Rattus norvegicus: one gene and its partners. The protein of the gene in region 6 binds, or shares a complex with, the protein of the main gene of each other region. Links are inferred from orthologs where the notes say so. Each region holds a gene or a part of one and is shown on either strand. Other genes may lie near its edges.

What was found.
Region 1: Skp1 (region 6) and Fbxo11 share a complex: the UniProt entries of both Homo sapiens proteins name them as parts of the SCF(FBXO11) complex. The link is inferred for Rattus norvegicus from reciprocal best matches to the Homo sapiens genes SKP1 and FBXO11.
Region 2: the proteins of Skp1 (region 6) and Fbxl5 are in contact, whole or in part, in a cryo-EM structure (PDB 6VCD), measured with the Homo sapiens proteins. The link is inferred for Rattus norvegicus from reciprocal best matches to the Homo sapiens genes SKP1 and FBXL5. Residues at the interface, in NP_733779.1 of Homo sapiens: Phe101, Ile104, Leu105, Asn108, Leu116, Asp117, Cys120, Lys121, Val123, Ala124, Ile127, Lys128, Gly129, Lys130, Pro132, Ile135, Arg136, Phe139, Ile141, Asp144, Phe145, Glu149, Val153, Arg154, Glu156, Asn157, Gln158, Trp159, Cys160; in NP_036293.1 of Homo sapiens: Ile205, His207, Leu208, Pro209, Val212, Ser215, Ile216, Tyr219, Leu220, Gln223, Glu224, Cys226, Arg227, Cys228, Ser229, Gln230, Val231, Ser232, Met233, Trp235, Ser236, Lys240, Trp245, Arg315, Leu316, Gly319, Leu320, Asn323, Val324, Tyr327.
Region 3: Skp1 (region 6) and Trim21 share a complex: the UniProt entries of both Homo sapiens proteins name them as parts of the SCF(SKP2)-like complex. The link is inferred for Rattus norvegicus from reciprocal best matches to the Homo sapiens genes SKP1 and TRIM21.
Region 4: the proteins of Skp1 (region 6) and Ccnf are in contact, whole or in part, in a cryo-EM structure (PDB 9CB3), measured with the Homo sapiens proteins. The link is inferred for Rattus norvegicus from reciprocal best matches to the Homo sapiens genes SKP1 and CCNF. Residues at the interface, in NP_733779.1 of Homo sapiens: Arg81, Asp83, Gly98, Phe101, Ile104, Leu105, Asn108, Leu116, Asp117, Cys120, Lys121, Val123, Ala124, Ile127, Lys128, Pro132, Arg136, Phe139, Ile141, Asp144, Phe145, Val153, Asn157, Trp159, Cys160; in NP_001752.2 of Homo sapiens: Leu30, Thr31, Ile32, Leu35, Val39, His42, Ile43, Trp46, Leu47, Glu50, Asp51, Leu53, Ala54, Val55, Ala57, Val58, His59, Ser60, Gly86, Asn87, Ser300, Val301.
Region 5: the proteins of Skp1 (region 6) and Fbxw7 are in contact, whole or in part, in a crystal structure (PDB 2OVP), measured with the Homo sapiens proteins. The link is inferred for Rattus norvegicus from reciprocal best matches to the Homo sapiens genes SKP1 and FBXW7. Residues at the interface, in NP_733779.1 of Homo sapiens: Gln97, Leu100, Phe101, Ile104, Leu105, Asn108, Leu116, Asp117, Cys120, Lys121, Val123, Ala124, Ile127, Lys128, Gly129, Lys130, Thr131, Pro132, Ile135, Arg136, Phe139, Asn140, Ile141, Lys142, Asn143, Asp144, Phe145, Thr146, Glu149, Gln152; in NP_001336727.1 of Homo sapiens: Pro274, Phe276, Gln277, Arg278, Asp279, Phe280, Ile281, Leu283, Leu284, Pro285, Leu288, Tyr291, Val292, Leu293, Phe295, Leu296, Pro298, Lys299, Asp300, Leu302, Gln303, Ala304, Ala305, Gln306, Thr307, Cys308, Arg309, Tyr310, Trp311, Arg312.
Region 7: the proteins of Skp1 (region 6) and Fbxl3 are in contact, whole or in part, in a crystal structure (PDB 4I6J), measured with the Homo sapiens proteins. The link is inferred for Rattus norvegicus from reciprocal best matches to the Homo sapiens genes SKP1 and FBXL3. Residues at the interface, in NP_733779.1 of Homo sapiens: Gln97, Leu100, Phe101, Ile104, Leu105, Asn108, Leu116, Asp117, Cys120, Lys121, Val123, Ala124, Ile127, Lys128, Gly129, Lys130, Pro132, Ile135, Arg136, Phe139, Ile141, Lys142, Asn143, Asp144, Phe145, Thr146, Glu149, Glu150, Val153, Arg154; in NP_036290.1 of Homo sapiens: Asp35, Trp36, Gly37, Leu39, Leu40, Ile43, Gln46, Val47, Tyr50, Leu51, Leu53, Leu54, Asp55, Ala57, His58, Ala59, Ser60, Gln61, Val62, Cys63, Arg64, Trp66, Asn67, Phe70, Glu82, Lys92, Ala93, Thr94, His95, Glu97.

What each region holds. Positions count from the first base shown.
Region 1 is NC_086024.1:12,290,598-12,294,741, forward strand, and holds the start of Fbxo11 (F-box only protein 11), read left to right. Parts: upstream 1-1,344; 5' UTR 1,345-1,345; coding exon of another isoform or gene 1,346-1,362; coding exon 1,363-1,470; intron 1,471-1,574; coding exon 1,575-1,656; intron 1,657-2,673; coding exon 2,674-2,818; intron 2,819-4,144. UniProt on the Homo sapiens protein: Substrate recognition component of a SCF (SKP1-CUL1-F-box protein) E3 ubiquitin-protein ligase complex which mediates the ubiquitination and subsequent proteasomal degradation of target proteins, such as DTL/CDT2, BCL6, SNAI1 and PRDM1/BLIMP1.
Region 2 is NC_086032.1:71,542,099-71,545,598, reverse strand, and holds part of Fbxl5 (F-box/LRR-repeat protein 5), read right to left. Parts: intron 1,886-3,500; coding exon 1,737-1,885; intron 875-1,736; coding exon 792-874; intron 1-791.
Region 3 is NC_086019.1:166,396,572-166,400,827, forward strand, and holds the start of Trim21 (E3 ubiquitin-protein ligase TRIM21), read right to left. Parts: upstream 2,801-4,256; 5' UTR 2,738-2,800; intron 1-2,737. UniProt on the Homo sapiens protein: E3 ubiquitin-protein ligase whose activity is dependent on E2 enzymes, UBE2D1, UBE2D2, UBE2E1 and UBE2E2.
Region 4 is NC_086028.1:13,770,170-13,773,669, reverse strand, and holds part of Ccnf (cyclin-F), read left to right. Parts: intron 1-110; coding exon 111-188; intron 189-264; exon of another isoform or gene 265-320; coding exon of another isoform or gene 321-461; intron 462-2,295; coding exon 2,296-2,447; intron 2,448-3,500. UniProt on the Homo sapiens protein: Substrate recognition component of a SCF (SKP1-CUL1-F-box protein) E3 ubiquitin-protein ligase complex which mediates the ubiquitination and subsequent proteasomal degradation of target proteins.
Region 5 is NC_086020.1:172,534,738-172,538,237, reverse strand, and holds part of Fbxw7 (F-box/WD repeat-containing protein 7), read right to left. Parts: intron 3,151-3,500; 5' UTR 3,082-3,150; coding exon 2,563-3,081; intron 1-2,562. UniProt on the Homo sapiens protein: Substrate recognition component of a SCF (SKP1-CUL1-F-box protein) E3 ubiquitin-protein ligase complex which mediates the ubiquitination and subsequent proteasomal degradation of target proteins.
Region 6 is NC_086028.1:36,901,408-36,905,707, reverse strand, and holds the start of Skp1 (S-phase kinase-associated protein 1), read right to left. Parts: upstream 2,801-4,300; 5' UTR 2,718-2,800; intron 2,680-2,717; exon of another isoform or gene 2,239-2,679; coding exon of another isoform or gene 2,233-2,238; intron 1-2,232. UniProt on the Homo sapiens protein: Essential component of the SCF (SKP1-CUL1-F-box protein) ubiquitin ligase complex, which mediates the ubiquitination of proteins involved in cell cycle progression, signal transduction and transcription.
Region 7 is NC_086033.1:86,338,588-86,342,539, forward strand, and holds the start of Fbxl3 (F-box/LRR-repeat protein 3), read right to left. Parts: upstream 2,801-3,952; 5' UTR 2,652-2,800; intron 2,607-2,651; exon of another isoform or gene 2,473-2,606; intron 2,214-2,472; exon of another isoform or gene 2,117-2,213; intron 1-2,116. UniProt on the Homo sapiens protein: Substrate-recognition component of the SCF(FBXL3) E3 ubiquitin ligase complex involved in circadian rhythm function. Plays a key role in the maintenance of both the speed and the robustness of the circadian clock oscillation.

The DNA of each region.
Region 1 (4,144 bases), on a different chromosome or scaffold from region 6:
CTCTACTCTTGGTGTCCAGATTTCATGTACTGGGGTGGCTGAAGGCGGGAGTGTTCTCACGGGAGCCACAGGTTGTGTGTAGTCTTGCTCATCTCGTCAAGTCCTGTTACAGAACAGCTGTGCTCTCCAGCTTTGCTATTCTTCATAATGGATTCATTGCTCTCCATCTTTGTCAGGAATTTCGTGGAAATTCTGTTGTGCTGTCTGTCGGGTGGTGCAGTTTTAGTCTGTCATTATTGATGTGAACGATGAGCTCCTATCGGGGTTGGCATTTATTGTTCTCCTAATCTGTGGGCAGATAACAATTGCCTGACTTCCAGTGGGTTACAGTTTGCCAGTTTGTGGCTTGTTATTTGATGCACTAGCTTAGTTTTGCCTTTTTAAGCTCACTTCCATCCATCCATCCCTCTCTACCTACCTACCTATCATCCACTATCTACCTACCTACCCACCTACCTACCGATCGATTGATCGATTGATCAATTAATCACACCTTTTTTTTTTCTGCCCCCAAGATATTCTAGGCTCATTTTGTACTTTCCTGCCCTACTACCCTGGGAACCACCATTTCTCCAACAAGTATGAAACTTTCCTTTTATAGAAAATGTTATTCAGAAAGCAAGATCCGACTACTAGCCATGCTCAACTATTTTGGGAAGCCTTGTGTTAAATGTGGGGAGAGCTTCTGCTGATGAGCACCCGTTCTGCACATCTCAATGTTCACACCTGTGTTCCTTCTATGGCTGGGACTTCACACTTTATGCCTCTAAATCCAGGCTCAACAGCAAAGGTTTTACTGGTGCTTTTTTTTTTTTTTTTTAATTTACAGCTGTTTTCTTGAACAGAAATCCAGGTTCCATTGCCCTGTGTACTTTCTGACTCATTTTACTCTGTTGTGTACCTGTCTCTGCTCTCACCTCAGCTGTGTGAGGCTCTTTCTGCTCTGCCCGAGGCCACTCCCTTTCCCTCCCTGCTGTGAATCTCTTTCATGCTCTAAATCTCTAGCACCATCTGGCAGGCCACCCTCTACCCGTTCACTTTTCCCTGACTGCTGTCTGGTACACAGAACTGAGCCGTCCCTCTCCCTCCACTTGGCCTTGCAGTGGGACAGCCTGCCTGCTCAGCTTGAGCTGCTCTGACCCGCTCTTCTCGTCAACACCTCTTCACCTCTTCCCACACCCCCTTTCTTTTCTTAAACTTTTTTCCAAGCTCTACAAGATATGGAATGTCTGTCAGATAGTCATCCGGTTGGCTGGAATTCCGTACAAAATTATGTTGTTCCTTCTCTTGCTGAATTTGAGATTTTAGTAAAAAGATGGATACCGTTTTCTTTCATCTTTGACAGATGATGTTCCTGCAGATATGGTTGCAGAAGAATCAGGTCCTGGTGCACAAAACAGTCCATACCAGCTTCGTAGAAAAACTCTTTTGCCAAAAAGAACAGCGTGTCCTACAAAGAACAGCATGGAGGTGACTTAATTGTAATTGTTTTTGTAAGGAAAGAATGGGTCAAAATTTGTGAGAATTATATACAGTGGGAATACTTGACTGACAGTTTCTTCTTGGTTTTGAAGGGCGCCTCTACTTCAACTACAGAAAACTTCGGCCATCGAGCGAAGCGGGCAAGAGTGTCTGGGAAGTCACAAGATCTGTCAGGTACTCCGAGAGGGAAGTAAAGTGAGACGCGTTTCAAAAGTTCATGTTTGAGCCTAGCATAGTAACACATGCCTTCAATCCTGGTATTCAGGAGGCAGAGGCAGGGGATTTCTGAGTTCAAGGTCATCCTGGTCTAGAGAGTATCGGGACAGATAGACAGGGCTTTATAGAGATGATGGTGATGATGATGGTGGCGGTAAGTGAAACTGAAAATTAAATATTATTTGAATATATTGAGTAGTTACTATTAAAAAATACATCAGAACCCTAATCCTTCCCTCTTTAACGTTTTTTAAAATGTATCTTTAATTTTAGTTATGTGTGTGTGTGCTTCTGTGAGGAGATTGTTGTACTTACCTAAATAGCTAGAAGGAGGGCATTCGATTTCCTGGAGCAGGATTTGCAGATGTGGTGAGCTTCAGGTTAGAGGTGCTGAGAACCAAAAAATGGGTCCTCTGCAAGACCAGTACAAACTTAAATGTTGAGCTATCTCTCCAGCCTGTCTTATTTTTATATAAAAGTTTTTTTTAATAGTGCTATGGTGTAGCCATAACACTAGCTAGCTACTTGGGAGGTAAAGGGCTGGGAGCTGGAAAATGAAGTTAAAGAGTAGTGAATTTAAGACCGACCTAGGAAGCTTCGAAAGACTGCCTAAACACAAAACAAACAAAAACAGCTAACACTGTGCATGCGTGTGTGCACATGCTTGTATGTACATATATGTAAGATAAAAGGGAAATACAGGACTGGAAGATGGCTCAGTGGTTAGGAACACTGCTCTTCCCGAGGTCCTGAGTTCAATTCCCAGCAACCACACGGTGGCTCACAACCATCTGTAATGAGATCTGATGCCCTCTTCTGCTGTGTCTGAAGACAGCTACAGTGTACTCATGTACACAAAATAAATAAAATCTTTTTTTTTTAAAAAGGAAATATATCAGTAAAGGCATATGCTGTTTGTTGGTGAGGAAGTCGTTGCTGGTAAATGACTTGTTATGTTCTGTTAATCTCTTTCAGCAGCACCCGCTGAACAGTATCTTCAGGAGAAGCTACCAGATGAAGTAGTTTTAAAAATATTCTCTTATTTGCTGGAACAAGATCTTTGTAGAGCTGCTTGTGTGTGTAAACGCTTCAGTGAACTTGCTAATGATCCAATTTTGTGGTGAGTGAAACCTACTCCTTGTTACCTTGAAGGATGCTGTGTGATGCCAAAACTGCCAGGGAAGGAAGTGGACGTGCGGGCTTCTAGTTATAACAAAGTAATTAAAAGAAAATTAAAATGCTTATAAATTCTGTTGCCTGGTTATCGTAAATGTGGAGAACTTGTTGATCCAAGAAATATTATAAATCAGGAATTATTTCTTTGTTTACAAGTTCATAACAAGCAAGTGATTTGGAAGGGAGTCTTTATGTATGGAGTCGGGTAGAGTACCGCAGACAGAATCTTCTACAGCACAGGGTGGCCGCAGAATGACTACGTAGCTGAGGCTGCCCTTACACTGCCCTCCTGTTTCAGCCTGGGATGCCATTGTATGTCACCACTCCCAACTCATTTTCTTTTTACATTTGGTTTTTGTTTTTATGAAGCAGCATTGGGTTTAACAAACACATCAGTATAGACTTAATGTGTCAGTGTAGAGATGCCCAGAAGTAGGATGTGCCAGGAGCATGGGTGTGACTTTACCAAAGAAGAGGCCGGTGATGCAAGGGTTAGTACAGGCTTCTCCAGGCAGTGCCGCCTCCTGTTTAAAAGCAGAGCTAGTTGGATATGGTAGCTCACACCTGGAATCATCCATCCCTAGCAGAGGGATGCAGAGTTTAAAGCCAGCTTGGCCTACAGAGAGAGTTGCAGGTCAGCCTGGGCTACAGAGTGAGACCACACACTGTGTGTGGTGAGAGTTGGTTTCTGGGCTGGAGAGGATGGTCACTGGTTAAGAACACTGTTCTCACAGTTTGTTCTCAGGACAACCAGTTGTAGGGTTCCAGTATCTTTTCAAGTCTCTGCAGGCACAGCACATATGTAGTGCATATAGATGCAGGCAAAACACACATACTTGGCTGGAGAGATGGCTCAGTGGTTAAGAGCACTGACTGCTCTTCTAGAGGTCCTGAGTTCAATTCCCAGCAACCACATGGTGGCTCACAACAATCTGTAATGGGATCTGATGCCTCTTCTGGTGTGTCTGAGGACAGCCACAGTGTACTCACATACATAAAATAAATTATAAAAAAACCACATACTTTTCTTTTTAACTTTTAAACTTTTTATTGTTTGTTTGAGGCAGGGTTTTTCTGTGTGTAGCCCAGGCTGTCCTGAAACTTCACTCTGTAGACGTAGTGGGCCTAGGGTCTGGATCTGCCTGCCTCTGCCTTCTGAGTGCTGGGATTAAAGACATGTGCCACCACTGCCCACCTTTTTAAAATTAGTCATTTTAAGAAATATTTCGACAGCTGGGTATAGTGCCACACACCTTTACTCCCAGTACTT
Region 2 (3,500 bases), on a different chromosome or scaffold from region 6:
AATATTTTAAGTGCTGGAAATAAAAAGAAGGAAAAAAAAAAAAAAAACCTAAGGCAAGTCATTTAAAAAGGGGGGGTGGAGGGGCTGGGGATTTAGCTCAGTGGTTAGAGCGCTTGCCTAGGAAGCGAAAGGCCCTGGGTTCGGTCCCCAGCTCCGAAAAAAAAAACCAAAAAAAAAAAGGGGGGGGGGTGGAAAAGAAAGAAATGGATAGGAAAGACTTCGTTTCCTGTACTAAAAGTAAGCACTTGGAGGGGAGGTAGCACACACATAAAAGAGCTGCTACAGCATAATGAAAATAAAAAAGAAATGAACACTGGAGACAGGTAAAGACCCTGTCTTCCCTCTGAAATAGGGTATGTCAGAACTGTGAAGAAAGGGGAACTAAAATAATAAGAAACCTAGTGGTCTCTAAGGAAGAATCAATTACCTGGTTTGAACAGACTGGTACTGAACCAAAAAACAATGAATTAAATGAAAAGGGAGTTCTGCCAAAAGACACTGAAAAACTGAAATAAAACCTTGAGAATAGTAATACTGATCTACACAGCAATTATAAAGCAAGCTTAGTAAGCCTAGGTGAGACATACAGATGGCAGTACTGATGTTCTGGGCCTGTAAACAAAGGAAAAGACTTGGGAGGATTCTATTAAGTTACCACCATATATGGCAGGGATTCAGCAGCAACACAGAGTAGGAGTAGTAAATAACAATTATGTAAACATGAAAATAGGCAAATTTTGCTAGTTTTGTTTTATTTTATTTATTATATTTAGATATTTAAAATAAATAACCTGTCAAATGCAGAATCGGAAATGTCAGTCTGGGTAAGATCCAGATGTTCCAGATTAGGACAAAGCTCTAAAATCTGCCTAACCTAAAAAGGAAAGGAAAGCCATTGTGAGGACCTGTGGAGAAACTTCAGTTAGACAAGTAACAGACAATGATAACTATAATACACTGGTTTTTCCTATACATGCATACTGAAAGAAAAAAAATCACTCAAAGAACACATTAAAATAGTTACATTCTGGTGTGGTGTGTGTGGATGCCAGAAGTTAATCCAGTGTGTCTTCCTCCATCTAATTTTCTGAGACACCATCTCTTACTGAACTCTAGGTTCTGCTGGTGTAGTTGCACAATGAGTACCAGGAATCTGCTGCCTCTGCCCCCATTTCCCCTGGCCGCCAGCACCGTGGTTACAGACACATGCCACTGTACACACATCTACATTCTGGGGATGCAAACTCAGGTTCTTATGCTTGCACAAAAGGCACTTTACCAAATGTGCCTTTTACCTCTCCAATTCTTGGGCCCACAATTCTAGTAATTGTCTTAAAGATTCTTAGAAATTAGACCCAGAAAAATCACCCTCTTAAAGGAATACTCAAGGAGATTGCATGTAGGAAGTCATAATTTTATAAAACTAGTTCATCTCACTTGTGCATCTTGCCATGCCTTACATGTTATAATCAACCATATAGAAGTAAACTCAACACATAACATCTACAAATTCACGTAAATGCTTAGCTGACTAGTTTTAGTTCCCTTATGTATGACACAGGCAAGGTTCCTACGCTACAGTACCCTAAGAAATGAAATGATATGAAAACAAACAGTGCATTCCTATCCATGGGAAGACACTCGATTCTCCTTCTTAAATAAGCATTAATAAGCAAACCAAAGTTGTCTGACTGCTATTTTTCTTAATGCTCAAGCTAGGGTTCATTTGTACATACCATTTTGCTGGAGACTGCAGAGCTGTATGCTAACACTAAAGTTTTTACAGAGGTACCAACATATGGCAGAACATTATGAATTAAGCCATGGAGTAAACGTTTTTCCATTTGTGCAATGCTGATAGCAACCGATTCCTCTGCAGACTCTTCTGTAAAATGAATTCAAACATCTAAGAACTATACACCAATTATAAGTAGGCCACCAAAAGGATGCATCAAAATACTAAATATGAAACTCTATACTATCCTCACTTTTGCAAACCATTCACTTTCTGGAAACAAGAAAAAGTTCTGAATAGTCAAAGAACTGTAAAACTTATTCAAGAGAAGGAATTAAATGATCTACAAATTTTTGGCTTTTTTTAAAAGTAACATCAGTTATTCTACCTAATTAAAAAAGACACAGCTAGATGTGAAACAACTCCATTAACCTTATCATTATGAAGACACCTTAGCTCGTAAGAAGTTAAACAGAAGCATGGCCTTTTGCACTTAGTAATTTTTATAGAGCTTGGATATAACAAGATACTTCTCTAACAGCAAACAAAAAACCACAGGATTAGCCTGTCAGAAGACTGTTTTTATAGGATGGGTGAAGACCTGAGTTCAAGCCCCAAAATTAAGGAAAAGAACTTTTCTTACAATTCCAATTTAATAAAAAGAAAACACACTGTATGTAGGCCTAAAATATGTTTCACTTTTCAAGATTCTATCTTTACTATACTTACCTAAACACCTAACTTGAATGTCTTGAACCATAAAGCAGCTTAATATGTTGAAGATTTATTTAAAATAAAATTGCATATAGTGGTTAAAAGAAAACTATGTGAAGAGTAATTACTAAATATTTTACCAACTTTGAATATTTTATAAATACCTCAAATTCTTCTTTTACTTAGACAATATGTGTATCACTAAAAAGCACTTCAGCAAACATTATTTATTACACTACATTTTTATTCATAATTCATTCTTTTCTCCGTGGCCCTCCCTGTCTGAGTATGCTTTATTTACTTAAAACCAACTACAGTTACATTCTACTGCCTGCCACAGAAAAGCATATGACTGAGGCTAACTAAATTAGTCTGTCTTATTAAACGAATTTCCAAACTCCTAAAACTATACCAAAATGGGTCCTCTTCAATTCATAAAGCCCAAAACACTCTCACTAACAAAGCAATAATCATTGTAGTTATTTCCTACACATACAGCTCTTCCATCAGACCAGCTTATCATAGCTTTATGAACAGAAACTTCTTAAGATTTCTCATCTATAAATTTTCACTATTGTAGGATCTTTTTAAAATTACCTAAAGTAACATCAAAGACACAATCTGTCTTCCTCCCCTATACTTTCAAACATCACTGTGAATCTCTATTACAGCAATTCTAATTATGTACCTCAAACAAAGACATTACGTAGTCTAAGTTCTACCGTACCTCTATTTATTTAACAGTAGGGATAAATTTTATCCATTCCCAGACCATCCCTCATATTGTACTTTGGGTGGACCAAAACTGTGCAACACAATTAACTTTCATGTATGAATTATCTTTTATAGTGTGGGAGACTAAACCCAGGGCTTTACACATGTTATACAAATGCTATAAGCTACTCCCACCCAAAGTCTCTCACTTACACACATCACCTGTAGGCTCTATCACAGGCTGGAGGCAAGTACCATGACTTTACATCATCCTGTCTCCCATCTCTCAACTATAGACGACTCAATAAACTGACTAACTGAAATACCCCTCAATCAC
Region 3 (4,256 bases), on a different chromosome or scaffold from region 6:
GAGTTAGACAGAACAATTTGCAAATTCATTTGGAATAACAAAAGACCCAGGATAGCAAAAACTATCCTCAACAATAAAAGGACTTCAGGGGGAATCACCATCCCTGACCTCAAGCAGTATTACAGAGCAATGGTGATAAAAAGTATATGGTATTGGTACAGAGACAGACAGATAGACCAGTGGAATAGAATTGAAGACCCAGAAATGAACCCACACACCTATGGGCACTTGATTTTTGACAAAGGAACCAAAACCATCCAATGGAAAAAAGATAGCATTTTCAGCAAATGATGCTGGTTCAACTGGAGGTCCTCATGTAGAAGAACACAAATTGATCCACTCTTATTGCCCTGTACAAAGCTCAAGTCCAAGTGAACCAGGAACCTCCACATAAAATAAGATGCACGCAAACTAAGAGAAGAAAAAGTGGGGAAGAGTCTCGAACACATGGGCACTGGAAAAAATTTCCTGAACAAAACACCAATGGCTTATGCTCTAAGATCAAGAATCAACAAATGCGACCTCATAAAACTGCAAAGCTTCTGTAAGGCAAAGGACACTGTCATTAGGACAAAATGGCAACCAACAGATTGGGAAAGATCTTTACCAATCCTACATCTGATAGAGGGCTAATATTCAATATATACAAAGAACTCAAGTAGTGAGACTCTAGCGAACCACATAACCCTATCAAAAATGGGGTTCAGAGCTAAACAAAGAATTCTCAACTGAGGAATACCAAATGGCTGAGAAGCACCTAAAGAAATGTTCAACATCCTTAGTCATCAGGGAAATGCAAATCAAAACAACCCTGAGATTACATCTCACACCAGTCAGAATGGCTAAGATCAAAAACTCAGGTGACAATAGATGCTGGCGAGGATGTGGAGAAAGAGGAACACTCTTCCATTGTTGGTGAGATTTCAAGCTATTACAACCATTTTGGAAATCAGTCTGGAGGTTCCTCAGAAAACTGTCATAGTACTACCTGAGGACCCAGCTATACCACTCCTGGGTATACACCCAAAAGATTTTTCAACATATAACAAGGACACATGCTTCATTATGTTCATAGCGGCCTTATTTATAACAGCCTGAAGCTGGAAAGAACCCAGATGCCCTTCAACAGAGGAATGGATACAGAAAATGTGGTACATCTACACAATGGAATACTACTCAGCTATCAAAAACAATGACTTCATGAAATTCATAGGCAAATAGATTGGACTAGAAAATATCATCCTGAATGAGGTAAGTCAATCAGTAAAAACATACATGGTATGCAGTCATTGATAAGTGGATATTAGCCCAAACCTTGGGTTACCTAAGATACAATCCACAGATCACATTAAGCTCAAGAAGGACGACCAAAGTGCAGATGCTTCAGTCCTTCTTAGAAGAAGGAACACAAATATTAATAGGAGGAAATATATAGACAAAGTTTGGAGCAGAGACTGAAGGAAAGGCCATCCAGAGACTGCCCCACCTGGGCATCCAGACCATATATACATACAGCTACCAACCCTAGACAATATTGCTGATGCCAAGAAGTGCATGCTGACAGGAACCTGAAATAGCTGTCTCCTGAGAGGCTCTGCCAGAGCATGACAAATACAGAGGCAGATGCTCACAGCCAACCATTGAACTGAGAGTGGGGTCCCCTTTGGAGGAGTTAGAGAAAGGATGGAAGGAGCTGAAGGGGCTTGCAACCCCATAGGAAGAACAATATCAACCAACCAGAGCTCCCAGGGACTAAACCACCACCCAAAGAGTACACATGGACAGACCCATTGCTCTAGCTGCATAAGTAGCAGAGGATGGCCTTTTGGGGCACCAATGGGAGGGGAAGCCCTTGGTCCTGCCAAGAATTGACATCACAGTGTAGGAAATGTCTGGGCAGGCGGGTGGTAAGGGGTGGGCGGGGGAACACCATCATAGAAGAAGGGGGAGGGGAGGTGGAATAGGGGGTTTATGGAAGAGAAAACAGGAAAGAGATAACATTTGAAATAAAAATAAAAAAAAATCCAATAAAAAAACTTCAAGATGTGCATTCATTATCCTGAGTACATCATCTAAGAGTATATTTCCCAGTTATTAGGCTTGTGTGTGTGTGTGTGTGTGTCAGACACACACACACACACACACACACACACACACACACACACAAATTGATGTCTTTATTTACCCTGATATGTTCCATTGTAAGCTACACTTGAGCACAAATGCATCAATGTAGGCATGCCCATACGTTCCTCTATCTAAATGTCTATGTACAGAATATGTATGTATGCTCATCTATTGACATTTGTGGGGAGCACTCCCTGGGCTCTTCTCTAAGCTCCTCCAAGCCTAGTACTTCTCTCAACTTCCTTTAGGGTGCTGAGTATCTTAAACCCACTGAAATTTCTAAGTGGCTAGCACTCTCCTCAATCGAGGGTCTTCAAGGGGCTGGGGTTTCCCCGAGTTCCCCCCTCCCCTCTCCCTCCCGGACTAGGTCACCGCCCTGCTTCTCCTGCTCATGGCACTAGGAAAGTCAATTTCAGAGACCAGCTTTCACAGGGAAGCACGGGCAGCCTGGCAGGGTTGGGACTAGAGAACTCCGCTGAAGAGAAGCAGCAGGTGGGCTAGGAAATTCCGTGTGTAGGGCGCTAGTGGGAAGCGGCTCCTTGAATCTGTGGCATTGGGGTGGGGTGGGGGGAGCCCATCTAGTCTGGCCAGGGGTCCCATCCTCACTCACCTTACCAGGGTCCTCAGACTTGGCTAGGCTGTTTTCAGCTTCACTTTTGCAAGCCCGCAGTCTAATTTCACTTTCAGTTTCCTCTCAGAGGTAAGCTTAGAAGGAAGAGGGAGGAGCAAGGGGAGGAACAGGGAGTTGACTGGCAAGCCTTGGAGGCAGATAGGGCGGAGACTGGGCAGAGAGTGGGAGGAGAGTGGTCAGAGGTGCCAGAAACTGACTTCAGGCCACAGGCAAAGGAAAACTCAGTTAATGTCTTCTTGGGTGCAGTCTCTCTAAGGCCTCCTTGTCACCTTTAACAGACTGTAATCTACAGGATATCGACCTTTGACACTGGTCTTTACTTCAAACCTGGGAGCATCTGGGAGAAGAGGTCTGGATGGGAGAGGAGTTACTATCTTTTCTAGAGGGATCTTCCCACAAGACTGATAGTTCTTTAAAATCCGGGTGAAAGATCCTGGCACTGTTTTTGTTAACATATATTAATTGCACAGTATGCTTGACATATGCCCATTTCCCATCCCTCTGTCTTCTCGTTTTGCTCCCCTCTTTTCAAATAGTCTAGGGTGAGAAATTTATTCCTAATGATGTTAGGGTATGTGTTGTAGCAATGAAGGGAGACTTGTGGACATTGATTGTATTATAATTTGCGCTAAAACCATCAGGTGAATTTTCCTTGCCATTTATCATATTTAGGAAATAAAAGCATTCCGTGCTTTGAAATTTCCAGCCCTGTTTAAGAGATCCTTCTCAGTAAAAGGTCACCAGGCGACATCTACTGTCTAGATTGTGCTGTTGTATTGGGACTTGATTCCAGGAACACAACAGCTCCAGGAAGCAGAATGAAAAACAGAGTCAAGCATCTGAAAGGACAAAGGCATCTGCAAACATCAGAAAATGATTCTGCTTCACACCACTGAAGATCTGTCGCTATTTCCTGCAGGCAAAGAACTTGGGTCCCAAAATAAGGTAGTGGTAGAGTCAATGTCTATTTTTCTATTTACCACTAGATGACGCCTTATCTGTTTCAGTTTACACACTGGATAGAGAGATTAATACACACCCTAGGGTTGTGGTGATAAATACTCTATAATGTGCACACAGGATGACCAATGTAATATACTCATAGCTGCCTCAGCTCCCACCTTGGTAATTATCTGAAGACCCAAACTCCTGAAGAACAAAATCTCCTTCACTCTCAGCTAGTACTTTGATATCTCAACCCTCCTTCCCCTGGGCGAAATGACTCAAGTATTTATTTGGGAAGAGTTAATGTCATTGATAGGACTGTCTAGTACATTATCAGTGTTTTGGTGAAGTGAGATATTTATGCTTTGGGTTTTAGTCAGGCTTTACTAACTTGAATGTGTTTCAGTAACCCAAGTTGTCTCAGTGGTACCCAAGTCCACTCTGTCCAGGACAGGAAAAGCATTCTTTACTCATTTCTAACTTAGTGACCTAAGAAGCCCCAAAGATACAGAAGTAGAAGGAGGACAGCTGGGAACAGGAAAGGACCAATGGG
Region 4 (3,500 bases), about 23 Mb from region 6:
CCAGTGCAGCTCAGGAGTGTGGGAATAGATAATTAGAAACCCATGGGGCAGTTCTGAGTGCCTCTCAGAACACAGCCGTCCGTGTAAGGATAACTTTCTCTTGTTGACAGATGTCTGACCCCGGACGATGCCTCCACAGCTTCCGGAAACTCAGGGACTACGCCGCCAAGGGCTGCTGGGAAGCACAGGTGACTTTGAGCTCTGGACTCTTTCCTCTGAACTGTGGGGCAGGACTGCCTAGGCTCTGCACAGGAAACGTAGAGAAGCTCAGGTCCAGGCCTGGAGCTGAGTCTTTTCATTTTAATTTCTTACTTATTTACATGTGTGTGATTGTCTGTATGTGTATCATGTGCATGCAATGCCGGTGGAGACCAGAAAAGGGCCTTGGATCTCCTGGAACTGGAGTTGTGAGCCACCTGATGTGGCTGCCGGGAATTGAACCTGGGTCATCTGTGAGATCAGTAAGCTTTCCTAAACTTCTAAGCCATCTCTGACCCCTGGAGCCAGTAATAACTCAAACACTAGGAAAGAAACTGAAAGTCAACAGATGGTGCAGGCTGGTCTTCGTCACAGAACATTGTGTTCATGTCGAAGAAGAATGTCGGAGGTTTACAAAAAATGGCTCAACATTTGCCACCAAGCCCGATGACCAGAGTTTGATCCGCAAGAGACATATGGCTGAGTCCCCAAAGTTGTCCTCTGACTGCCACATGCACATCACACACGTCACTCACACACACACACACACACACACACACACACACACACACACAGAGAGAGAGAGAGAGAGAGAGAGAGAGAGAGAGAGAGAGAGAGAGAGTCTTAGAGTAACTGTTGCTGTGAGGAAACACCAACACCATGACCAAATCAGGTTGGGGAGGAAAGGGTTTATTTGACTACCCTTCCATGCCTTAGTTCATCATTGAAGGAAGTCAGAAACTCAAACAGGTCAGGAACCTGGAGAGGCAGGAGCCGATGCAGAGGCCATGGAGGGGTGCTGCTTACTGGCTTGCTCCTCATGGCTTGCTCAGCCTGTTTTCTTGTAGATCCTAGGACCACAATGGGCTGGGCTCTCCCCCATCAATCACTGATTAAGACAATGCCTAAAGAATTGGTTTTTCAGCCTGTGGATCTATGGCCGACCTCTATCTCCAGAAACATTTGCATTGCGATTCATAACAGATTCTCAGAAAAGAGGAAATAAATGCAGCAAGTTAAAAAAAGATAACATTTGCCAAATACAGGGGCTTAATCCTTGTCTTCAAGACGCTGAGGCAGGAGGTTTATGAATCTGGAGCTACAGTTTTAAATGAGCTATTGGGGACTTGTGTGATTAATGTGTTCTATTTGATTTTTTTTTTCTGTTTTTTAGTCCGTAATGAGTAGCATCTGTTTTATTTGTTTTTTAATGTATGTGGGTGTTTGCCTGCATATACATTCCTTGTGCCTCGTTGGTATCTGAGAGGCCAGAAGAGGGTGTCAAATCTCTTGGAACTGGAGTTACAGACAGTGAACTACCATGTAGGAATTGAATCCCGGCCTAGTGAGCCATCTCTCTAACCCAAGACATTTTTAGTGACGATAGTTCCTGTTTGTCTCGAGTGACGTGTGAGCGCGAGCCTCAGAGAGAGTCCTTGGATCGGTGCAGACAAAAGTCCACAGCTGTTCTGTGGACTCAGCAGGGAGGGACTGAACGGTCACAGGATGCTCAAAAGACAGAAACACTCCAAATGGAGACACTAGTAATGTTGCCGTGTGGGGAAAGAAAGATGCTGGGTCATAAATACACATACACACCAAGCTACAGTTACCTAGGAAGACACAGATGGAGCCTAAAAGTTGTTGACAGTGACTAACGGAAGTCTCCGTGGGTGCTGGGCAGCGTCTCCTGAGTGCTGACATGTTTCAGTCCACCCTCAACAGGACCATCGAAGCACCATTTAGTAACAGAAAACTTGGAGCTGGAGAGATGCTCCGTGGTTAAGAGCTCTGGCTGCTCTCCGAGAGGACCTGCCGCCATTTCCCAGCAGCCACATGGTTACTCAAAATCACCTGTAACTCCAGTTCTAGGAACCCGACACTTTACTCTGCCCTCCTTGGGCACCAGACATGCCCGTGGGGCAGACATACGCGTATGTCTCAAAACACTCATATACATAAAGATGATAAAGATGTTTTTATTTATTTGTTCAGTTTAAAAGTAAGTCCTAGCAATCTGAGCCATGCTGCTATGAGGCTCAGGCGGGCGGAGGTGTGCCGTGCCAGGACTTACACTGCACTTGTCTCTCCCCACAGCTGGCTTTGGCCAAAGCCTGCGCAGGAGGAAGCCAGCTTGGACTAGAAGGGAAGGCCTGCAGTGAGTCAGTCTGCCAGCTCTTCCAAGCCTCCCAGGCCGTCAACAAGCAGCAGATATTCTCTGTGCAGAAGGGGCTCAGTGACACCATGAGGTGAGGCCTTCAAGAGCTTGCGTTTGATGTGGCGGAGCAAAACCTATGTCTCCTGTCTCCGGCAACACGCCATTCCTTTACCAACTTACTCTGTGAGCATGTGCGCTGCTTAGGACTTCAATGAAGACACTAATTCTGCCCCACATCCAATGATAATTTTTTTTTTTTTACTCTCCCCCATTTCCATGCGTATTTATATAGGGTGCGTATGTGTGTACATGCACGTGTGAACCAAACTTGATGTCACAATCTTCCATTGCTCTACCATATTCCATAAGGCAGAGTCTCTCCGACAAACCTGGGCTTACCTCACAGTTAGCACCAGCTAGCTGCATTGCTCTGGGAATCCCACCCCAGCCTCGGCAGCTGGACTTACCATCTGGTCACCGCACACACCTGGCGTATTCGTGGGTTCTGGATCCAGTGGTCATGCTCACTCAGCAAATACTTAACCATCTTCCCAGTCCTGCTGTAGCCCAGGCTGGCCCTGAGTTTCTGGCTATTCTACTCTAGCCTCCTGTTGTTCTGGGGGTATTGGTGTAAGCCACCAAAGTCTTTTTTTTTTTTTTTTTTTTTTTAAGATTTTATTTATTTATTATATATAAGTACACTATAACCAGAAGAGGGCATCAGATCTCTTTACAGATGGTTGTGAGCCACCATGTGGTTGCTGGGAATTGAACTCAGGACCTCTGGAAGAGCAGTCGGTGCTCTTAACCGCTGAGCCATCTCTCCAGCCCCCACCAAAGTCTTTAAAGCCCAGGAGCGGGTTAAATTGTTCTAAACATTGTTTCGAAATGATGAGACTCATACCTCTAGTTTCTGAAACTGAAATACAACTATTTTGAATAGAGGAGGGCCTGGATTTTGAGCCCAGCACCTTATTCGTGAGGAATAACCTTTTCTTTACAGTTCTCTTTATAATCAGTATATTTTGTGCCACTCAGTGACTAGAGCGAGACTTAGGGAGCTGGCGAGCCCCTTCCTACCCCCATCCCAGCCATCCCATCCTTTGGGGTAGCTACTGTGATACCCAGCACAACTGTCTTTCTT
Region 5 (3,500 bases), on a different chromosome or scaffold from region 6:
TCTCAAGAAAAGAAAAATAGGGGTTGAGGATTTAGCTCAGTGATAGAGCGCTTGCCTAGAAAGCACAAGGCCCTGGGTTCGGTCCCCAGCTCCAAGAAAAAGAAAGAAAGAAAGAAAGAAAGAAAGAAAGAAAGAAAGAAAGAAAGAGGAAGGAAAGGAAGGAAAAGAAAGAAAGAAAGAAAGAAAGAAAGAAAGAAAGAAAGAGAAAGAAAGAAAAAGAAAGAAAAAGAAAGAAAGAAAGAAAGAAAGAAAGAAAGAAAGAAAGAAAGAAAGAAAGAAAGAAAGAGAAAGAAAGAAAAAGAAAGAAAGAAAGAAGGGAGGGAGGGAGGGAGGGAGGGAGGGAGGGAGGGAGGGAGGGAGGGAGGAAAAAATAGAAAAAAAATCTAAACAAAGGGTGGTGTGGAGTGAACCACTGGCTCTCTATAACCTGTTCACTTATCTATTTCAGGAATGTGCAAACGGTTTGTATTTAATAAACAGCAATATCAACTACCATTAGCCTTGACCTTTAATATTAGAATTTAGAATCTGTTTATCTAGTATCTAATATAATCTATACTGTTTACTGTATGTTCCCTTAAGAACAAAACTTAATGGGATTGGGGTAGTCTTTGTTCTCAAGAGGAAACACGCCTTTCTTACAAAGAACAGAGACTGTTCCCTACAACTAAGAGTTAACCCAAACAGGTCTGCCAATCACCTACACAGAAAGCACCTCAAAAACCTGTCAGGAGTTCAGAAATGCTAAAAACTAGTATAAAGTCTCCCTTAACACACTGGCCACTGTTCCCACTCACCACTTAAGGGTGCCCGCCCACTTCTCTAATCAAAACATGCTATCTTCTCTACATTTGCAAAAAGGGAAGCTCAGTGACCAAGGGGAGCAGATTGTCCTTAGTTCGACAGTGTCCGCTATGTTCTGTAGACAACACGCTTTTCCTCGGTGATGTAGAAATACTGGGGAATGACACATTAAGTCTGGCTGCCGTCAAGGCTCATGGAGACGTCTGTCTACATGGATATAGACACGCTGAGGAAGCACTGAGAAAGTGGAAGGTGTTTTCTTCCTTTCAAGTCTTCTGAACAGCCTATCCCTGACTCACATTCACCAGACAGCCCAGGCCGGCCTGAAATCTGCAACAACCTTCCTGCCCCGGGTTGAGACTTGTGTGCCACCACACCTGACTCTAAGCCAGGGTTTTCATCTCAGTCCCTGCTCCTTTCAAAGGACTGAAACCAAACTGCAGCCCAGGACACTGTACATTTTGTTTTTATAGTGATCAAAGATGTAAGGGTCTCCAAAAGGAATCAGTACAAATTTCTCCTATTACTAGAGCTGGGCATGTGAAGTCTTCTTAATACAATACAGGAAACTTTAAAACCATCTTTTGAGTAGTTGAGGCAATGTCTTCTGCCTTGAATTCATGATCTTCCTGCCCTGCCCTCCAGGTGCTAGAGGATTTTCTAAATTGCTGCTATGGAGATGAAAAGAACGGGGGTGAGACACTAAGAGTTAGTCCAGACCAAGATCCTCTACCTTGAGAGTTCAGTGAGAGAAAACCACACCCGATGACATTTCCTTCCTAGGTCACGCCAACCCGTAAGTAAAGTCATGTGCCCGGCATGAAAATTAGACATAGACATGCTCTCTGAGGTCATGCCAACCAGTAAGTAAAGTCATGTGCCGGGCATGAAAATTAGAGATGGACATGCTCTCTGTCATCGTTTTTTTTTTTAACAACCTAAAACAAAACTGATAAAGCAAATTGAAATTTAAGCCAATTGTATGAGACACTACAATCTGAGTCAAAGCACACTAAAAGCAATACTGTTAAATTTATAGGTATTTATGGGCAAAATCCAATGATTCATTGTTAAATTTAAAAGTCAGCAAATGAGGAGTAAAGGGGTGTGTGCTACAGACCATTTCTATGTGTGTAAAACAAGTCACCTATTACTTAAACACAATCCCTACAACAGGTTAACACAAGGCTATTCTACTTGGCACCCACAAGCCACATCTAACTTCTGAAAACACAGCAGACTTAGTTGCTGTGACTTCCACTGATTTACACTTTAGGTTAACTCTTGTGAAAACACAGCCAGTGATACATTAGCTATTTTGCAAATAAAATTCATTACTTTATTTACACACGTCATGTTTCACACCAACCCTGCACACTCACCCAAACCACTCTGGCAGCAAACCGGAAGCTGGTGATTTGGTTTTTTGTGGTAAACAACATCAATCTCCTCCTCCATCACCACCACCACAACCTCCATCACCACCACCACCACCACCACCACCACCACCTCCACCACCACCACCACCTCCATCACCACCTCCATCACCACCACCACCACCACCACCACCACCACCCCGTTTTGCAATTAAGTTGCCTTCTTATCAGTATCTCTATTTATAACACTGGAGCCTTCACATCATTAATGAAGTGCTCTACATGTGAGGACTAGTGGCCGCACTACAGACTGTAAGGATGAGGTCACTATGACTGAAATAGTGAGGGAGCATATCCGGTGGAGGGGAATGAAGATACTCACCTTTGTTGTCTTGGTATAGAATGGGGAGGAGAGCTGGTTGATGGGCAGGTCCACGACACTAGTGCAGTTTGTGACATTGCTATTGTGAGTATGTTCATCTTCCCTGCTACTGTCATCAGACTGGTCAAAATCATCACTCTCCTGGTCCATCTCCTCCTCCTCCTCCTCTTCCTCCTCTTCTTCCTCCTCCTCCTCCTGTTCCCCAGCATGTTCTTCATCTTCCTCCTGCTCTTCCTGGTTTCCCGAAGAGTCCTCATCTACTGAAACAAAGCGGTTATTATTTTCTTCCACTTGTCCTTGCTGGGAATCGTTCTGGGCTCCAGGCCTAGGGTCTGCACCCACAAGTTCACCATTCCGCGCAGTGTGCTCCTCCTCCTGATGTCTCGGCTGCTGCTGTGGGTCCTCCTCAACCACGCGATTCATCTGCTCCTCATCAACCTGGCTTGAGGAAGCATTCCCTCTCAGAGAGCCTCCAGTTCGTCGTCTTTTGCTGCCCACAGAGAGCAGTTCCTGATTCATTTCCAAAAGCCAGCTTGCTACTTCTTGGACCTTGGCTAGACTATCAGAAGATGCAAAGATTTTCACATTCTGTAGGAGGAAAAGGGGGATAAACAAGATTTGTACCATCTTTGTTGTTGTCCACTTTTGTGTCATATGCCTATAGTCTAAGTATAATTAAGATCGTGGAAAGCATTCACACACTCGTTAGTAACAAATAAGTTTTAGATTAAATAAGTTATAAAACAAAAAAAGAATCATACTGAAGACCTTTAACTACCTTTTTCCGTAAACCTCTAAAAGCTTGATGGTTTAGTTGTTTTGATCAATAAGACATAACTTAGCCAATAAAACAATTTTAAATTTTAAATCATTAATTCAGAAACCACATCCTGAATAAATCATTCACTGAATACTAAACATATGCAAGCAAACAAACA
Region 6 (4,300 bases):
CAAGTCCAGTCTGGGTTACATAAGAATCTGTCTCAAACAAATATAAATTTAAAATAGCATGGTAATACTGTATGCCTTTAATTCCAGCACGTGGGAGTCAAGGTACAGGTGCATCTTTGTGAGTTCAAGGCCAGTGTACACAGTGAGTTCCAGAACTGTCAGGGATATACAGAGGAACCAGTCCTGTGAAGTCCAGTTTTTGGAAAGATGAGGATCATAATTTCAAGGACTGACTAGGTTACATAATGAGGTCAAGCCAGCCTTGGTGGAACTCATTAAGAGCCTGCTTAAAATGAAATATAAAAGAGGCTGGGGATACAGCTCCTGAGTGTAATGCCTAACATGTATAAAGCTCTAGTTCAATCTGCAATATTGCCCTCTCCCTCTGCCCAAAAGGTGAGACAGAGTATAAGTATTTCCACAATCCCAGCATTTTGGCAAACAGAAGCATTAGGAGTTCATGGCCATCTTCTTGATACATACAAAATAAATTTAAGGCTAGCCTAGTTTTCTTGCCCCTGTCTCAAAAACTGATCTCAACAACCCCCCCATCCAAAAATGCATCAACTGAGATAAAATATAAGTCATTAGGAAAAATATAATTTCATATATTAAAAAAATTAAGCAACTAGCTCCTAACATGACTTGAGTTTTAGGAAAAACCAAAACCAAACAAAAGCAAACCAGTATTAATACTAAAAGCTCTAAACCAGCAATTTATCATCTTCAGATTTCCCCCTCATTACTCCAAAAGAGTAATTCAAGACCTCTTTAAAATTTCATGGGGTTGGGGATTTAGCTCAGTGGTAGAGCGCTTGCCTAGCAACCGCAAGGCCCTGGGTTCGGTCCCCAGCTCCAAAAAAAAAAAAGAAAAAAAAAATTTCATAAGCAACTTTTTTTAGTAGTTTGTTTTTGAGACAGGGTTCCTCTGTGTTGCCCTAGCTGTCCTGCAACTTGCTCTGTAGCAAGGACTGGTTTTGAACTCAGCCATCAACCTGCCTCTGCCTCCAGTGCTGGGATTAAAGGTGGGCACCTGGGGTTGGGGATTTAGCTCAGCGGTAGAGCGCTTGCCTATCGAGTGCAAGGCCCTGGGTTCGGTCCCCAGCTCCGAAAAAAAGAAAAAAGAAAAAAGAAAAAAAAAAGGTGGGCACCAAAATCCCCAACTCACATGTAACTCTGCAGGTCTTATGCTTCTGAGGAATACCTGGGTGTTATAGGGTTAGCACTTAAAATAACTATTGTACCTATTTAAGGGTCAAACACTTAAGACTCGGCGTATCTCCTAAAATATTCATTCAGCTTTCTGAGACACTTGTCCCCATTCCTCAAGTAAACAATAATTGGGGGGGGGGGGGGGATAAAGCTTGTTTCACAATCATCCATGGTTGAAAAGACTCAAGAGTTCACTTTTCAACTCACAAATATGCTGCAGAACAGAGAAGCCCAGAGCAGCAGACCCTCCTTATAAGGCAACAATAAAAGTTAAAGAGACCAGCTTTTAATAGCAAAACACTATGTTCTCTTTATGGTCCCCAGCACTGTAATGATCACTCAGGAACAAGTCTATGTGGCTAATAAAGTTATTTTAAAAGACAATTCCATATTTCCTTGAAATAATTCACAATAAAGACATGCTTAGTCATAGTCAAATTTAGGTATCAGGTTACTTGCAAGAGAGCCAGGGAGGCAATCAGTTAATCTGTAATTCAATGCACTCTGTAATCCTAGACTTCACTTTTGTTGTGGTGGAATTAAGTGCAAAATTTTTAAGTAATAATGTATGAGATTTCGATTTGATATGCTTTCAAAAAACCCTTCTTTAGTTCTCTAAGCTCCTGGACTTGGAAACTAAACCACCATCCAAGTCTAGCATGAGAATTCTAGTACACTTAAAACAGACTTTAAAAACAAACCTGTTTTAAGTGACTCGAAATTCTGCCACTTGTTACTGGACTGCAGGGCAGAAGGGAGTGCATTGTTCTTTGCCACAACACAGTCTACTGTAACATTCTGATGAAAAACTGAGTCTCCAAACCTGAGGACTCCATGAAAAAGTGAGCCAAGAGGCATGTTTTAACACTATCCCTTAAAAACCCAACACCTTGGGTTTTAGCGTCAAGGGCTCCTAAAAGTCACACACCTCAGACGACAAGGTCTATTACAATAAGTTCAGAGACTGCAGGACGTGACAAAAAAAAAAAAAAAAGCGAAGAAATATCGGGAACCTGTTACCTGCATATTCGGTGGTTAAATAGGTAAGACCAGTAAGGAGCAAATGTCGCCAGATACAGGAGGAAGGGAGAGAGCTAAGTATCGAGTGGCAACGACCGCCACCACCCGGAAGGCCCGGGACCCCTACTCAAAGCCTTGCGGCCAACCCGCCCTGGAGCGCGGAGCAACAAGCCTGTCGCTAAGGCAGGCCCGGGACGAAGCCTAGGCCTTGCAGCCGCGTTCGGGGCCGACTGACGTCGCCCGCAAAAGAGCAGGCCTGCCACAGAGCTGGATACAGCAGCGAGCGAGCGCCGAAAGGATGGGCGGCCCTAGAAGGCCTGACTCGGCCGCCTCGCGCCTCCCGCGGTCCGGGGTCGGCAACGGGCCGCACAGCGCCTCAGGACACGCCAGGCCGACTCGCCGCCTCGTGCACGCCACAGCCAACCCGGGGCTCCCACCCAGCCCCTCCCTCCAGGACCTGGTCCGGCTCGCGGGCTGCTACTCACCGTGCTCGGTCTCAAGACCGCAGGCCTGAGGCTGCCGAACAGAGTTCACAACCGAATAGAAGTCTCGAGAACAAGGCCACTACAGCAGCGCCGCGCGGCGTCAGCTTTTATAGGAGCGGGAAGAGGGCACCGAGGACCCCGAGTTCGTGACGTCACACAGCCGGCCGGGCTGGCCGTTGAGAGTGCCTGACGGCATGCGGAAGGCGGGTGGCAGGTTCTGGGCGCCGCAGAGGTCTCCTGGAGAGGTGCTGAGCGGCGATGGGTGGAAGGGTGGCTGAGCAGGAGGGGGACTTCCACTTTACTCCGCCGTCCTGAACAACGCCGTGCTCTCCTTCCGTGCGGACGCCGGCACCGGCTGGGGAACCATCGCGACCCGAAGGGTCTTTCAGGCAGAGGCTGTCTTAAACTGCTTGAAAGACCCCAGTCCTGAAAAGCCTGGAAAGAACAAACCGCAAAACCGGTTGTGGGTGGGTGTGCTTTAAAGGAGTCACCTCAGCCTGACCACTGTTACTCTCCTAATAACCCAAGGAAATAAGGGTTTTTGGTTTGTTTGGTTTTTTTTTTTTTTTTCCGACCTGGAATTAAGGACTTGAACCTTACTCCACTGATAACTGAGCTTTAAAAAATTACGGATGTTGAGTCAAGGTGTCTCTAAATACTCCTGACTTGGTGCACCTGCTTAGTTTTTATTTTCTTTGCATTTTAAGACGGGGTCTCGTTTGGCACAGAGTGACTGCAAATTCATTGCGTAGACCAGGTTGGTCTAAAACTCGTGAGATTACCGGCTTTTTTTTTTCACCACATATACTCGCCTTATACTCTTTTTGTTTTGTTTTGTTTTGTTTTGAAACAGGGTCTTACTAGATAAACCAGGTTTGGAACTCGCTATTTAGACCAGGCTGGCTTTAAATTCAGATCTGTGTTTCCAATAGCTCAGCGCTGGGAGGCAGGCACCACCTTGTTGGATAATCTTAACCTTTATTTCCTACCTTTGAACTTTGAAGAGGCTTTCACACCCCAAATAGCCATTGTTGGAGTGAAGCGCCAAGCCTGGAGAGAGAAAACAGGGATGTGGAATGGAGGGTATATTCTTCGGGTAATCATGCTCTCTGCCTGTGTGTGAGGCCTGTGAGGCCCGCGCTGGGAATCCATCCAGTAGTGAACCAGGACAGTCAGCCCAACCTGAACAGACTATGCTGTATGGGCAGCTCACAGAAGGCTGTGATAAGGTCGCTAGAATGAAACAACTTTGAAGTAAAGGGAGAGGTCTGAAAGGACCCATCTGGCCTCAGCCCAGCCAGGAACTGGGCACTTGCCTGCCCTGCCCCGCTGTGTCTAGGGAGCATCACTATCCCCACCAAGGCGCCAGGCTCACCTAGCCAATGAGCACATGATGGTATTCCTGGCACCACAAAGACAAAAGACGTTTCCACACAGGGCCTCCTAAAGAAACCAGAGCCTACAGTTTCTCCAGGACAAGTCTGGGCAGAGAGGCCAAGCAATGGCTTGAATGACCAGGTCTTTGTCTGATGGCTGTGGTATCCAATGTCTGCCAGGTGCCACAGCTGATGACAGAAGATGAA
Region 7 (3,952 bases), on a different chromosome or scaffold from region 6:
GGACACATTTTGCTTTGTTACTTGATTTACACTGCATTCTAGAGTAAGCCGGGCCGCTCCTCGGTACTACTATGTAGTCCAGGATCTACGGTGATTGTTTAGACAGTGAGTCTAATAAGGCTGGTCCAATCAAGACTCCAAAGGATGGCTTAACCCCAACCAACTTGTGACAAATCATGACGTAAGACTCTGGCTCCTCTGTGGAATGAAGGACTTGCACGTGTACAGACTTTAGCACCGAGGGCTGGAGAGCAGAAACAGGACTTTGGAGGGCACAACCCCACACTGTCAGTCCAGGAGGCCTTAAAAGAGGAGCAGCCCCTTCTTTGTTGTGCCTGCACCTACACACACTCAAAAGGGCATAGTCTTGAGTAAAAGGAGAATTCAGAAAACAAAATGAGAGGGGACAAGATGGCTTTATGGAAGAACCAAACTTATTTATGAATCTACGAATAGACTTTTAAGTGTGTTCAGAATAAAGTTAGAATGATTAACAGTGCCATTTTTTAAAATTAAAAAAAAAAAAAGCCCTACTAGGGGTTAGCCTGTCATTATGACCCACTTTCCAACTTTAACTTCTCCTGAAGGTTTAACTTTAATTTTAGCATTTCAATTTGGGTCAAAGAACAAAGAGTCTGCTATTTAGAACTCAAACTTTCTTATTGACAAAAACTGCTCAGAATTCTGAGATACAGATTCAAAAAAGATGACACTATCTTCCTACTTCCAGACCTCATGCCAGGAGGCTCTGCCACATCTGGAGAAATCCTCTAAAGCCAGGAGGTAAAGGTCAAACACTTCGTTTACAGTCAAGTGTACAGACTCAAAACCAACACAAGGATGGCAGCCTCACTCACCACACTTTAACAGCACTCTGCTGACCCTAAGTTTATACAATTTTTATGTGAGACAGGCTCACTATGTGAGTCTGGCCAGCCTTGGAATCAGAGATCCACTGCCTCTGCCTTCCAACACAGTTCTACCTAAATCAAGTATATTTCAATCCAGCTCTCCTTTGGGAGGAGGAAGTCGGACAACGTAAAAACACCTTCAGTAAGGAAGATCAAGTATAGCGTTATACTTGATCTAAATATAAACTGAATACATTGATCATCAAAGTATGTATTAGTACTTATTAGTTTATCAACAGCTAAAAAGTCTACAGACTATCATAAGCAGTATGAAACTAATGTCACCAGTAATAGAAAATGAACAGACTAAATGTTAAAATGTGCTGTGCACTATTAGGTATAAAAGTAACATTAGTGAATAAAGACCTAATAACGTTTTAAATATTGCTTTTTCCTTGTTGGTCTTTTTAATTCAAAGTTTGCGATGCTTTTATTTTAATTATCTACACATGAAGCGATGCTGTATAAAGTTGAACAATTCACTAGTATACTAGAGATTTACAGTAATGGGTTTTTATACTGCTTCTAGAAGAAGTGAAAGTGCTCTTGCTATCTGAACAGGAGGGGCGTGGTGTATCAAAACAGGACAATAAATATCAGTAAGATTTTCTAAGCACAGAAAATCTGGGCCCTAGCGGTTGTGATTTACTGCAGTGTTTCCGGAACCCAAAGAAACTAAGGTGGCAGGAACTTTTGCTAGTATTCGGATCAAGTGTCTGGGAGGCAAAGTAATGACGGACACCTAGTAACTAGTGAGCAGTACCAAGAATTAGTGAGCTAATCAAACATTTCCTCAAACCAAAATGAAGAGTCAAACTTTCCTTACTCAGACATTTACAAATTCTGGACATAAAAAGATTTTTAAAAAACGCATTTGCACTTAAACTTTAAAAGTCCCATTCTGGCACTACGTTCGCATTTGTCCTTTTGTTTTGCTTTACATGGAAGGAAACCTAACATACATTCTTTGGTTGTAATATAAGAATCGAAAAATATTGAAAGAGATTAACTGTCAGAATGGTGAGAGCACAGACACAAACGGCAGCCGGCACACAGATAACCCGGGTGAGAGTTTTAGAGTAACAGACATCTTTACAAAGGGTTCAGGGAAAATTTTAAAATTAGCCTTTTCGTGTAAGCAAAAGATAAAACATCTGGGCAAGTGGGATAGGCACCAATACCAACAAGACGCCGCCCGCTCTCACCTCGCGGCTCGGAGATGCCCTGACCTGGCTGCTTCCGGGTGGAGGTCTGCAGTGCGACCAGAGCGGCTGCACTTAAGTTCGCCAAGTTTTCCACTGGGCGCCTCCCCAACCCGGTTTTCTCAGACTTTTCCCTCCGCCCTGCCCAGGCCCCCGGGCTTTCCAGCTTCCTGCCCCCGCGCCGCCGAGGGCGAGCCCAGAGGAGCCCGTCACCCAGCCCCGCCACACGCGGCCGCCGAGCGCGCGCCACGCCTTGTTGACAAGTACTGAGGTCCAGGCGGGGCGTTCCCGCGCGCGCCCCCGGCCGCCGCCGACCTCCCCGCCGGACTCCGGGCTGCGGCCCCGAACCTCCGCCGTACCTGCTGCCGGGGGCGGCTTCCCCCACACACCACCCCGGGCTGCGCGGGCGGCGGCGGCTCCCGCGGCTCTCACATGAGGCCTCCCGGGGCCCCGTCTCCGCGCTCCCGCCGTCGCGGCCCCCCGCGCTCCGCCCGCATCCGAGACGCTGGTCCCGCGGCGGGCGCCGACGCGGCTCCACCTTTGCGGCTCCGGCTGCCCGGGCGGAAAGCTTCCTTTCTCTGTCCCGCGCAGTCTGCGTCCTTCGCCCCGGCACCTCCTCGTCGCCGCCCGAGACGCCCTCGGCGAGCAGCGGCCAACAGCAGCCAACAGCAGCGAGCCCCGAGCCTCGGCCCAGTTACAGAATCCAAGATGGCGCCCGGGGCTCGCGGCCGCGCGCTGGCCTCTGCGCGTCTCCGCCCGCCCGGGCGCGCGGCCGAGGGGGCTGGGCGCGCGCGCGCGCCCGGGCGGCTCCAGTCTCGGGGACTGTCCCTGGAGAAGTTTGTTTAGGGGCGGAATGTGGGCGGGTTGGAGTTAACTAGGAGCGCCAGGCCTTTCCCAGGGTTAAACCCGGAAAGTTTAGGGCGGTGGAGCCGACGCGGAAGAGAGAGGAGTGTCTGCAAAACCCGACCCACCCCTACCGGACGTAAACATCAGCTGACAGCGACCCACCTCCGCGAAGAGGGCGCGGCCAAAGGTGCTGTCTGCACACCGGAAAAAAAATAATAAACCAACGTGGTTAACGTTTCGATCGCGACTGATTTCTTAAGACTGCATTTGCATTTGCATTTCCGTTTTTCCAAGGCTTTTTTTAATGAGTCATAACTTTTTCATAACCACTATTTACTTATGAAATAGAACCCCGAAGTCTGAGATTTCTTTTCTGAACCACATAGGGAAAAGTGTAAAGAAGAGGATAGCTAATTAAACGAAGACCCCTGGCGCAGCGTTTTGTAAGTCAAGGCGTCTTTTAGATGCTACCTATTTGACTTGTTTTTAGAAGTTTGGACTTGGAGATGCCGAATTTTCTTAAAATAAGAAAAGTTCACAGAAAATCTTAAGGTTGGCTGTATACTGTGCCTTCTGCTCTGTGTTATTTTTCCAGAGTAAATAGCTCTTCTCTCCTTCCAACCTCCTCTCTCTTCTGTCTCCTACCCTCCTCCTCCCATTTCTTTATACCGAGTTTCACTTTGTACCCCTGACTGGCTTGGAACTCAGATCCATCAAACTCTGCCTGACCAATCCTGAGATTGAAGAAATGTGCAGTCATAGCCAGTAAAAACATGCTGAACTTTAAAAGGCTTTTCATGTATGTTTTAAATTTATTAGTAGTTTTATAAGCTTTATTTTCATTTTGTTATAGGTGTGTGTGTGTGGGGGGGGCACACGAGTGTAGTGCCTGTGGGGTCTGAAATGGATGTTGGATATTCCCTGTAGCTGGAATTACGTGCAGACAGGTGTGAGGTGCTCGTCCTGAGTGCCGTGACTGAACTCGGGCCAGTT